3 linked regions of the Schizosaccharomyces pombe genome follow. The main gene of each other region encodes a partner of the protein of the gene in region 2 in a complex. Each region holds a gene or a part of one and is shown on either strand. Other genes may lie near its edges.

What was found. The genes of interacting proteins can lie anywhere in the genome.
Region 1: mug178 (region 2) and bot1 share a complex: the UniProt entries of both Schizosaccharomyces pombe proteins name them as parts of the mitochondrial small ribosomal subunit.
Region 3: mug178 (region 2) and mrps17 share a complex: the UniProt entries of both Schizosaccharomyces pombe proteins name them as parts of the mitochondrial small ribosomal subunit.

What each region holds. Positions count from the first base shown.
Region 1 is NC_003423.3:2,230,804-2,235,039, reverse strand, and holds bot1 (mitochondrial ribosomal protein subunit S45), read left to right. Parts: upstream 1-1,917; 5' UTR 1,918-1,928; coding exon 1,929-2,876; 3' UTR 2,877-3,257; coding exon of another isoform or gene 3,258-3,434; 3' UTR 3,435-3,497; downstream 3,498-4,236. Other genes in the region: SAGA complex subunit Spt8, read left to right, coding at 1-957; SPOM_SPBC14C8.15 (triglyceride lipase-cholesterol esterase), read right to left, coding at 3,258-3,434, 3,498-4,236. UniProt on the Schizosaccharomyces pombe protein: Component of the mitochondrial ribosome (mitoribosome), a dedicated translation machinery responsible for the synthesis of mitochondrial genome-encoded proteins, including at least some of the essential transmembrane subunits of the mitochondrial respiratory chain.
Region 2 is NC_003423.3:3,445,847-3,450,231, reverse strand, and holds mug178 (mitochondrial 37S ribosomal protein bS1m), read left to right. Parts: upstream 1-2,007; 5' UTR 2,008-2,341; coding exon 2,342-3,019; 3' UTR 3,020-3,716; downstream 3,717-4,385. Other genes in the region: ade9 (trifunctional formate-tetrahydrofolate ligase/methenyltetrahydrofolate cyclohydrolase/methylenetetrahydrofolate dehydrogenase), read right to left, coding at 1-861, 1,129-1,265; AP-2 adaptor complex subunit Apl1, read left to right, coding at 3,900-3,926, 3,973-4,181, 4,219-4,264, 4,318-4,385. UniProt on the Schizosaccharomyces pombe protein: Component of the mitochondrial ribosome (mitoribosome), a dedicated translation machinery responsible for the synthesis of mitochondrial genome-encoded proteins, including at least some of the essential transmembrane subunits of the mitochondrial respiratory chain.
Region 3 is NC_003423.3:1,165,785-1,169,544, reverse strand, and holds mrps17 (mitochondrial 37S ribosomal protein uS17m), read left to right. Parts: upstream 1-2,247; 5' UTR 2,248-2,340; coding exon 2,341-2,613; 3' UTR 2,614-3,025; downstream 3,026-3,760. Other genes in the region: DNA recombination protein Saw1, read left to right, coding at 496-858; rRNA processing protein Tsr2, read right to left, coding at 1,211-1,483, 1,745-2,011; rib4 (6,7-dimethyl-8-ribityllumazine synthase), read right to left, coding at 3,298-3,735. UniProt on the Schizosaccharomyces pombe protein: Component of the mitochondrial ribosome (mitoribosome), a dedicated translation machinery responsible for the synthesis of mitochondrial genome-encoded proteins, including at least some of the essential transmembrane subunits of the mitochondrial respiratory chain.

The sequences.
Region 1 (4,236 bases), 1.2 Mb from region 2:
AATGGAGATATTATACTGTACTCTACAAGACATCAAGAGGGTTATCCCGTTACTTCTTTAAAAAAGCATACGGCTCCTGTTTCGTGTTTAGCATTACATGGTTCCGAGAAAAAAGTATTGAGTGGAAGCTGGGACAAAATGGTTTATTACTGGGACCTTAACACTGGTGATGCAATATCTACATACAATTGTGAGAGTGGTCAAATTTCGAATATAGTTTATCGTCCATCAGGCGCTGTAAATCCTTGGGGTTCTGAATCGGACGACATGCGTAGTTTGTTCGGTACACCTGCGTCTTCCTCTTCTTACGATGCACTGTTTGATGAAGAGGTGGAAAAAGCCATTGAAGAAGAAACTAAATCTGTTCAAGCAAATGAGGAGAACGAGACAGAAAAACCCTCTCAAACCGAATCTACTACTAACAATGACAACATAAAAGCTCCTTCCGAATCTTCATCCGAAGAGTCCAATATTTTCTTAACGACGTCTATAGATGGAGTTATGAATGTATGGGACCATCGCATGGTCGATTCTGTTCTCAAATACCCCGTCCCCAAGGGTGTACCACCATGGGCTATGTCTGCATGTTGGAGTCCGGATGGAAATAATATATATATTGGCCGCCGAAATGGAATCGTCGAAGAATATAACATTCACTCTGGCAAGGAGCCTGTTCGCTCTTTAAAAATGCCTCTCGATTCGGGTCCTGTTTCAAATGTCTATTCGATGCCGAATGGCCGTCACCTTGTAATTTCCTCCTTTGATAATATCCGCCTTTATGATCTTCAAAGCAAGGCCGGCATAGGGTTCTTAATTATTCCAGGTCATCATGGAGGTCTTGTCAGTTCGCTTTATGTAGACACTTCTTGTCAATTCATGTTTTCAGCTAGTGGAAATCGAGGATGGCAAGGAACTACTACTGAAGTGTTCCTCGGATACCAAATAATGACTTCATAAAATGCTTTCTCTAAAACACATATTCGCAATAATGTACATTATGATAATAGACTGAAAGGAAGTGGGTTACGATTTAGTCGGTCAAATACAAAATGGTCTTTGAAAGGCACTTTGGATTTTGCCTTAGTAGGGTCAATTATATGCCTATTGTCGTTTAACTTTAAAAATCTTTTTGAATTGTCTCCCTTTCAACATTTGAAATAAACATCTCAGTTAAAGTTTTTAGAATAATTGTTAAGCCCATGCACTCTTCATTAGTTGATTGCTTTTTGGGTTTTTGGTTACTCTCTAAATAATTTGAGGTAAGTTTATAAATGTTTCCTTAAACCTATTTCCCCTTTTTTGCCGAATATAATAAACTTAGGTATTAAGCTGAGATTGTTGGTTATGAACTTTCTGACAAATATGATACACAAATCGTTTTGTTTGTATAACATGTATTCTAAAACTTTCCTCTACTTTAATTTTCAATTTGGAATTTCCTAATCAATTTAATGCCATCCATCCGCTTTATTATTTGTTGATGTGTCAATTGCCAAACAAAAATATCAAGGACATGCGAAACTCTTGTCTAAAGAAGCAATGACCGTATTTAATGAATTTTTTTCGTTTGATTCTGTAGAAATTATGACTTAAATTGTGTATTTATTTTTTAAGTATTGATGTGTATAACTGTTCGTATCCTAATATTGGAACTGACTCTCAAACATTCTATAGAATAAACAAAATCTTACTTTATTGCATACTGAGAGTTATTGTCTCATAAATAAATCAAGCGTCTGTATGTTAATCGGATCTTATAATGGAGCTAGATTGCTTGACCGCCGGAGGTTAAATTTGAGTTTTCCTAAATCGTCTCATTAATTATTGGTTTTTTGAAGTTTATTTTCTATATCTATCTTGATGAATAGAATTAGGGCGTGTTACTAACTTTTGGGGAGTGACACAAGAAACCTTTCCAACGCACCTAAATGAGGAATTCAGTGGAATTCTCACAGTTAGGGCTTAAAACGGCTTTTAATTTATCTCAAAATAAAACTTATACCTCAGCAGTCAAGAAACAATTCTTTAGTACTGGAGCATTTTTAAGCAATGGGGGAAATATTGATTTAAATAAACACACTCAAAAGAACATTGATTCAAAGTACGTTGCTTGCAACTCAAGATCTGTAACACCCCCAAATGATGTTGCTTCTTCAGTTTCTAAGAATACACTTCGTCATAAACAACGTTTAATGATGGCTCAATGGTTAATGTCTCCCGAAGTACAGAAAGCAAAGTCCTCATCATCTGGTAATGTAGGCTTGGGACCTAATACAAATCAGCCCTTCCCTTTAAACCCTTTTTTTAAGCCTCCTAGGCCTATATCTCATTCTTTGCGTATGAAAATTACCGATGAATACTTGCAGGGTGCAAGTATAGAAGTGCTTGCTCGAAAATTCAACACATCTCCACAAAGGATTGAAGCTCTTATAAAGTTGAGAAGAATAAATGATGAATTCGAAGAAAAAAAGAAGCCGATTCTTCATAGTTATAATGAAGTTATGGAGAAAATGCTGAACGCATGTACTAAACCTGAGATGATGCAGTTTAATGACGGAAACGATATTCCTTTGCGTTCCAATCCAGTATCCCTTTGGAAGAGTTTGCCTGAGGGAGAAACGTTTACACCTCAAGAGGCTGCTAAAATCCTGAAGTGGCCTTCGATTGAGGAATTAAACATGAGACAAAACGCTACTCACTTCCACAAAACATCTGATGAGCACAAAGATTTGAATGAAGATGAAGAGCTAATTTCTTCAAGCCCCAGCGAAGTTGGGAAGCGTGTTTTTAGGCTCATTGATCTTTCTACTGGTAATGTGTATAGAAGGGATACCGGCGGGGATATTTATGTTAAGAGAAAAAAATCTACTACCTGAAAATCAAGCATTTATTTCCCGTTTTTGAAAGAAAATTTACCCCCTTAGCATGCATTAGCGGCAGTACAATCCATTTCAAACTTTTGCGAAATAAAATCTTGAATTGTTACAAATTCACTCAGCAAATTCTTCTAGTTGTTGCATTATCTAAAAGTTATTTGTACATATAAAAATTGCATAGTTTTTTTTGCTTTCGTTGCCATATTGACTTTTTCAAATTAAACAAAGAAACTTTTTTTAGCCGTTTAATACAAATACTGATAAGAAGGGTTGCACATACGATGAAACAGTCTATACAACACTGTGCTTCAGTTTGATTTAGAACAGAAACTTATCTAACATATTAAATATACATTGTGCCAGTTTCAGAAGCGATGAACACTATATTGTATGGTTCATAACGCCGTCAACCAATTCTGTGTCAAGTCCAAATTCTTCTTTTATGCTTTCAAAGTAATCTCCAGCAATGACATGATTTAGTTGTTCTACGACTTGCTGAATTACTATGTCCTTTTTCGTATCTCCCATGATGATGTCGAGATGCTCATAGTTAGGAATCTTTAATTTTAACTTGTTAGTTTCCACTTAAGTAAATGAAGCTACAACTGTTTCAGAACATACCTGAATGCATTGAGATAATGGTGGAAGTTGGGTCTTGAGTGTTTCAATGTCCACCATGTTATCGTTACTGCCATAAACTAAAGTAATAGGTAGACGTATATTTTCAATCGGATAGCGAGCAATTCGGTTAAGATTTGTATAGTAACTTGGCTTAAATCCTGGACTGTCATCGTACATTTGTAATACTTTGCGACGCGTAATTTGAGCCCAATGTACAAAGCATTTGACAGAAGTAAAGGAATATAGATGGGAGTATGCAACGATTTTCTGAGTTTCGGAAATATTTTTTCCGGTCCAGCTCAGAAAAAAGCGAAGAAACAGATCAACAATTTTTGCAAAAACTGGCGGATATAAAACTGCTTGCCAAAACACAGCAGAACCAAGCATGGAATTTCGACCGAACATTAGGTAAAGAAGTTGGCTATTAGCGTGAATAATAGATTTAACGGTTCTACCACTATACTTTTTAGGAGCAATTGCAGGAGCTAGAGCAATAAATGCTCGTACGGAATTGCGAAGTTCAGTATCAATAGACAGCGCTGCAAATGCTAATATAGCGCCCTGAGAAAATCCAACAAGGCTTATAGAATCAAAACTGTTAACGGACAGTATATATTTAACAATGGAAGGTATGTCAAAAATAGCGATACTATCAAGACTGAAATCCCAAAACTTTGGATTTTGAGAGCTGAATTTGATATTCTTTATACTATATTTGTTTCCTCGTAAGTTTCCAAGC
Region 2 (4,385 bases):
TTTAAGTCAATTTTTCGATAAATGTTTTCTGTTCTAGCTATCTTGGCAGCGTTTACAATATTTTCCATTAGCATAGCAACAGTCATCGGTCCGACGCCTCCAGGGACAGGAGTAATGCTGCTAGCAACTTTGGATGCAGATTCGAAATGCACATCGCCAACCAAAACGCGTTTTCCATTTCTTTGAACAGCGTTTATGCCAACATCTACCACAACAGATCCTGGTTTCAACCATTCACCACGAACAAATTCGGGTTTGCCTAATGCTGCTATAACCAAATCAGCATTAGAAATGTGCTGAATTAAATCTTTAGTTTTAGAATGACAGACAGTTACTGTAGCATTGTCCTTTCTCAACAAGTAGCTAATTGGATTTCCGACAATGTCACTTCTTCCCAGAACTACAGCGTTCAATCCAGCGACTGAAATCTTGTTATCTTTTAATAACTCCATAATACCTTTCGGGGTACAGGGATAATGAATGGGGGTAGCATCATTCTTTGCCAATAAACCAATGTTAAATGCACCAAATCCATCAACGTCTTTCGGCGGAGTGATAGATTCAGTAACTGTACGCTCATTGAGATGCTTGGGAAGAGGAAGTTGGACAAGGACACCGTGAACCGTATGATCGTCATTCAATTTTTTTAATTCATGAAGCAAGGCAGGCATTTGGATTGTTTCAGGAAACGGGCAGTATTTAAAATCAATACCAACTAATCGTGCCGCCTTTTCTTTCATTCGAACGTACACGTTAGAATCCTCACGTTTTCCAACCTGTACAATGGCAAGCGCCGGCTTAAAGTTTCGATCCTTAGCTTTCAAGGCCTGCACTTCTTCAGCAACAGAACGTTGTAATTTTCTAATTAGTCGCTACATTAGTAACCTCAAAGAGAAATAAAAATATAAAGTTTTAAGAGCAAAAAAATCTGATGAAACCTCAAACGTGCTGCAATGCCCAATACAATTTTTTAACTTCTAAGTATCGACAAAAAAATTGAAGAATATACGGAATTAAGCAATGTACGCAAATCAATTTTCAAACCACCAAAATTTTATCGTCAAAGACAAACACAGAAATGCACGCTCATCTGCATAGAGAAAATTTAGAATATAAACTTTATCTTACCTTGCCAATAATTTTCCATTTAGGATATTCGCAGAACTTGAAGTACCATACGACTGAAAAAGCCATTTCGATGGCCGTAAGCTGTTGCTTTCTAGAAAATAGTTTCGTAATTGATTAAACGAAACCATTACGTTCATAGAAAGACACCCAGAAGTGGTAGGGTAGTAAGGGAACCTGCCTGTCCTCTGGTGGTGTGTTAAAGCAAAATTTTTATTGGTAGTCAGGTAATCTATGTTGAATAATACGCTTACAGTAGAATATGAACCGAAACATTTTAATAGCGATTGTATTAAAGCAATGTATTCATTCTCGTATAATTTATTCTTCAAGCTCGAATAGTGACTGGAACAATTGCATTATTGCAAATCATAATGTATTGAACAAGTAATAATATACCTAAGCCTTTGAGATAGCTAATAAGCACACAAATAGTCAAAGAAAAAGTTTAAAAATCTGTTACATGATATACAGAATCTCAAGATCAAATATAATAGACAAATATAAACAACAAACGATCTGACAAGCAACTCATTAATTATCAGTAAATAAACTTAGACTAGAAAAATCATATAGTTTAGTTTAGTAGAGATAAACTCATTAATGAACAAGGAAGAACACACAAATTTACCGAAAGTTAACCTTTATAAGTTTCACTTTTCTTATGATAGCCATACCTTTAGTATTACTAATTTATAATTATAAAAAAAATTCCCGTTAAATTTAATAAGTACAAGCTAAAATCGTACTCAGTCATGGTTTACTCGAGTGTAAACAATTAAAGCACTCTGTTTCTCTATCCAACAGTGTGCGAGTCAAGTAACATTGCTACTTGAGGAGAGTGAACGTTTACTACACAACATGCCGACATGACCTCCTAACGAAAGCGATTCTATAACTTCAAACTAGCTATTGTAACATTGGCCATAATTTTGTATATTAATAGAGAGAATTTCATCTCGTATATACTTTTCATGAGTGTGCACACTTGATGTAAAACACTTCGCAAGCTGGATTGCACGACAAAAGTATATAAATAGCTGGCATCAAAAAATTACAGTCGTATTCGTGTGTTTTCTGAGTGATTGCTATTGATATTGACAATATTGACTCATTAGAAGTACCCACTTTCGTTCAGCAGTTACTTTTCGGTGGTGGTTTACATTGGGCAGAATTTGGATGTTTCTGACAAAGTATATCTTTAATCAAAATTATAATGAAGTTTCCTGATTTGTTGAGATGCTCCCGAGCAGTTAGTTTAGCAAGACCAGACTTGCCGAGGAACTCCCCTGATGTCTATGATACGAAGATTCCCATCCTACAAGCAATTACTGCGAAGAAATGCCAAAGATTTCGCGGCGATTGGGGAGCTAAGAGGAAGTTACCGATCCTAAAAAACCGTCATATTTCCATACAAAAGTTTGACACATTCGAGCATCAGTGTGCCTTCATCAGCAGTGACAGATTCGTACGCACCTTGAAACGAATTTACGACCTTAAGCTCCCTGTTCCGCTTAATGATTATGAACAAATTTCCCCTTACCTTTTACAGAAATACAACACTTTCTCAAGCTCAAATCCTAAATCCAGACCTACACTTCCACCAGGTATATTATACGCCAAATTGAAACTTTTAGATTCTTTTTCTGATTCTGAAAAGAAGCGCCTAAGTTTAGTATCCTTTATTCAAACTAAAAAAGTCCCGTTACCATTTACTTACGGAAAATTTGCACCCGACTCTAAAGAATGTTTATTTGGTGTCTCAGGAGTTATAGCTGCTACTTCTCTCAAAGGAATTACTTCAACAAAAAATCGATACGTAATTCGATCTCTTAATGTCGATGAAACCGGTAAAACCATTCCAAATATCACACGAGAAAATAGGAGTATTTAATACCATAATACAAGTTGACATTGACAATAAAAAACAGTAAAACGATTATTTCTCCCGTGAGTCACTTCGGTTTTCTTAAAACAATAGCTTTTCTTTCAAGGAATTGTTTCTTAATATTGTTTTCGTCTGTTGATAATCGTCTATTATGAAGATCCATCCATATTTAACATTTATTTCATCTGCTTACGATCCTGAGTTTTTGAGTTAGGGAAATTAATTGCACGGACTACTTTCTCCTTGAGCTATCATGATATGCCTTTAAGATCATTAAATATTTTTAACCGTTATTTTGCATTGTAGTGAACCGCTTTTTTCTCCCTCTTTTTGTTCATGGAGAGATTCTATACACCTATTACTTTTTCTAGGAAATAATATTGTCAACAAGCTTGTTTATTATTCCCACCATTCTTGTTTAAAAAAGATTGAATTTTTATTGTTTGTTTTTTGAGTGATTTTAACTTATTTTGGTTCTTGTAATTTTCGTTATGGCCGTATCGCATTACTGGAAACCTACGATGTTCCTAAGGGTGTCCGTTTATATTGAACTCTGTTTGGTTTATATTATGTACGCACGTGCTAAAAAATTTGCATAAATAAATTAATAAGCTTATATCAATCAACGCTTCCCGACAGTGTATTAAATTGTAAATCCGATAAACTTTGTAAACGTCTTTTGAATTTGCTTCTTAATTACCCAGTTACTCTAGTACCTACTAAGAGATAAAATCGTGTTTTATTAGCAATCATTATTTTTCTTTTCTTCGTACAATCTTTTATTCAAGCATTTTACTGTAACTCGTTATTTTGCTTTGTACAATAACACTCAGTATTATACCACAATACATTTTGAATGTTAACACGTACATAGCATGTTGTTATAATGTCGAGTAGTTCAAGTCATTTTTCGGTAATTTAACTTTCATAAAATTCGGAATTACTAACTTAAACAAAAGTCTACCGCTGCTGATTTGCTAGCAGTCTTCAGCTCAGATAATAAGGACAAATCTGCAAACAAACGAATTTCTGCTTTAAAGAAAGCAATTGCAGGCATATCTTATGGATATGATATGAGTTCACTGTTTCCATCGGTGATATCTTCTATGGAATCTAATAATCTAGAATTAAAAAAACTATGCTATTTGTACTTGAAAATTTACGCGAGGTTTGTAAAAGTTTCTTTATTTTTTACTAATTGACAGCGTGAAACCCACAGAGGCGAAGAGAGCTGTTAAACTTATTTTGAATGTAATTTTCTAATTTGTACATCTCTTATGATGATGGATGTTAACCTCTTTTAGGACATTTATTCTTCCAACCCTATGATTAGGTCCTTAGCTTTAAGAACATTGACATCGGTAAACATCAA
Region 3 (3,760 bases), 2.3 Mb from region 2:
ATACCTCAAGCCAACAGCAGTGGATAGATGGCAAGTGATGTTTGCTAGGCGAACGGTATTATCTTTTTTTTTTTTGAAAAACTTTTGCTTTAATCGAAAAGATAATATGTTGGTCACAACTACTTTTCACAATACTTTTAGCCCTAATGTCTGCTCGTTTGCTATAATGAAAAAGACACCATTTTGATCGTTTACATCTCGATATATTTATTTGTTGTTAGATTCTCTCTTTTGAAGGATTATTGTTGTTCATATACTTAACTACTTGGCTAGTTAAAAAATAAATAATAAATAGCATTCCTAAAAAGTCGTTATGTTTACGACTCATTTACTTGACTGTATTCCCATCTTAGAATTGAAATTTATAAGTCGTCTTTTGTTGTATATAATTTAACTTAATACATGGAGTATTGAGAAATTCAAAGAGTTTTGTCATTTGCTTTTTTTGGCTATGGTTGACCATCCTCCCGTATCTAACCAGACACCAAGGTGCAAATGTGTTCTGTTGAGAAAATTGTGAGGTTGAGGCATAACTTGTTGTGTCACGTTCGAATTCATTTTAAAACAAAAGAAGACCTTGATATTCGGGCTTTCCTTTTTTCCCTACAGCGTGAATTGCATGCAGTTGCATTTCTCAACCAAGGATCCATCCGCACGCTCTACGAGAAAAGAGTAGTGGATATTACGAGTGAATCGGTCCAAAGCCATGCAATCATCGAAACTGCTAGAAATTTTGCACTACCAAATACTGCTGAAGAGGAGGAAAACATGGATCGAAAGCCAGAATTGCAGTTGAGTTTTAAAGGATCAATGACTAGTAAAATAATACATATTTATGTACAACCATTCGATTCATGAAAGAATGTATTTTGCGCCTTTTTACGTCTGCATGACTAAAATACACTCTATTTACAGCCTAATCTCATAAAAAACAAGTATTAAAAATTTGAGAAGTGAAAAAGCTGCTCAATTTAACTCGTATTCGTATTTTGGCGGATCACGTTCTTCTATACTTTTAACTACATCTTCTTATGACACGGATTACAAAGGCTTAAAAAATATAAGAGTTATTTCGATCCCAATTTTCAATTTTCAAACCAAAAACTTGAATTTTTATTATCCCCCAAAATACAAAAAAGATAAAACCAATTGCTCCCAGCAATAATGCTCATTTAATGATACCAAAAGATATAAGAATAGTACATCCTCTTTAACGACGTCTTTTCTGGACAACGGTGAATCCATCATCATCAACAATGGGTCCCTGCTGCTTTTCCTGCTGATTTTGAGCAGCTCCTCCATCCTCAGCATCAACAATCGTTTCGTCTTCTACCAATACCGGAGGATTTGACTCTTCTCTAGTTTTTTCCTTTCCTTCCTCCTTTTCAAGCAATTGTTTTCCGAGACGCTCATGGATTTCACGAATAGGTTCATAATTATCTTCGCAAGCAGCTTTCCACACATTAACCAAATCTTGAGCCAACTAAATAGACTGTTAATAGACGTATCACTTGATAATTATTTTAAATGCTAATAGAAGTAAAAAATTTTTAATATAGACAACAGAACGCAATATGTGTATAAACTCGAGCTTTTGACTAATATTCCAATATTTCGTCCTCAAACTTAAATCATTTTTTCGGTGCCAATATATATATACGAATCTTCAGTCTCAAGCAAGCTTGTTACGTTCTTTCTTGTTTGAAAAAAATCTTTACCTAATTTAGTATTGGTGAATACTTACGATATAGGGTGAGTCGTCTTCTATTGAACCAACATTGAATTCATCCTGCAGGACTTGAAGAATCAATTCTTCAACGTCCCATGCTTCCACATCGCTCGTAACTGTAATATAATCAACTAAAACTCCTGCCATCCAGTCTCGTTTATCGGCGGTATCGACATCGGCCCATTCTTCTTCAACAGCCTGTTTCATAACAGGCCATGAACATAAAAGAACACCGACAGCATATTCAAAATATGTCAGTCTCTTAGATGGGTCGTCAAACATGGCGAAAACACAGTGTCAATAACCCTCGTTCTTCTTCTCTACAAAGTCACCCTACCATAAAGTACTTTAAAATAAAATACACATACTTTTCCGATCCTCGTTATGTTGTTTATCACATTTATATATTATCATTAATTGACTTAAGGAAAGCTTATTTATGTTAAATAATTATAAGGGAAAAGACGCCGCTTCATTGCACATTTGTAAATAGGGCAATGTCAAAACTCTCTACTGCTAAAACGGTGCGCATTGATAACTTAGTTATTGTGGGTATTTAAAGGATTAGACTTACTTACTTTTCTTGTTTAATCCTAAAATTACTCTGAAGAATGAAGCTAAATTATGTGGGAATCGTGATTTCTCGTGCAATGCCAAAAACAGCGAAAGTGCGGGTTGCAAAAGAAAAGTTCCATCCAGTGGTGAAAAAGTATGTCACCCAATATCAAAACTATATGGTTCAAGATGATTTAAATTGTAATGTTGGAGATGCAGTTACAATACAGCCATGTAGGCCTCGGTCAGCGACTAAACGCTTTGAAATCATAAAAATCTTAAGCACAGCCAACCGTATGAGCCCAGCATCGGAGATTTCGAAAGAGTAAATAAAAAATCCCCATTAATTTTTGATGATTCCTAATGATTTCGATTGATCCATTGTGATAAGTCTTTCGCGGTGGTCATGAATATTGTAAATCGGTGATTGACCGCTCTTTCTTAACTTGCCAATTACCTGTATACACCGATATCGATTTTAACTGGAAATTTTTACATTCACAATGGCTACGTAATGTTGCAAATTGTAGATTGTGCATCAGAAGAGTCTCAAATCACATTCATTTCTAAAAGAAAACTACTCTTGTAGTACCATGTTTCCTGCTCCCAGCATTCAATGCCTTTAAATTTGTTTACAACTATGTCAATAATACTTCTGTAACATCTTTTTTTGTAAAAAGGGCAAGTGATTGAACAAGATGCATATAGACAGTAATATATTCAAAATAAAGCTTACAAAACATAATAAGTTGGGATTAAGTCTTAAGCAAATTTAAAACATCGTATACATTAACCCATAGCTGTATATCTTAACAAACTGGGGAATCATGAAAATACGTTGCAAACGATTGAATGAAAAACATACTTGTTCAACTAAGACGGTGCTCATAAGAAAGCGACAATGTATAAAGGATCATGACTAAAGCTTTAGCATGTCAGTAGGTCCTTTCGAAGAGCAAAACAGTCAGTAGCATATTTTATTAACAAAAAAATGAGCAAAGGATTCAACTTAATTAATACAAAGCTTTCAATCCCATCTCTACAGCAGCTGATCCCCAATCATTTCCATGGTTATGGCCACCATTCAAACCTGCACGATAAAGAGCTTGCTCTTCATTTAAAACTGTTAATAGACCTAGAATGACGGGAACACCTGAATCAAGGCCAACGCGCATAAGACCATGAACAACAGCTTCTGAAATATATTCAAAATGCATGGTGGAACCTTTGATTAAAACGCCAATGCCAATAACAGCATCATATGTATTGCGGGCGATGGAAGCACGAATACCTTGAGGAAGTTCCCAACTTCCCGGAACACTTTCAATGTCAATATTCTCCAACTTCACATCATGTTTTTCTATCATGGTCTCAACGGCACCCTTAACAAGAGGCTCAATGGCTTGAAGATTCCAGCGGGCATGGACAATAAGAATGCGCAATTCTGGTCCCTATAAAAAAAATTGATTAGAACTT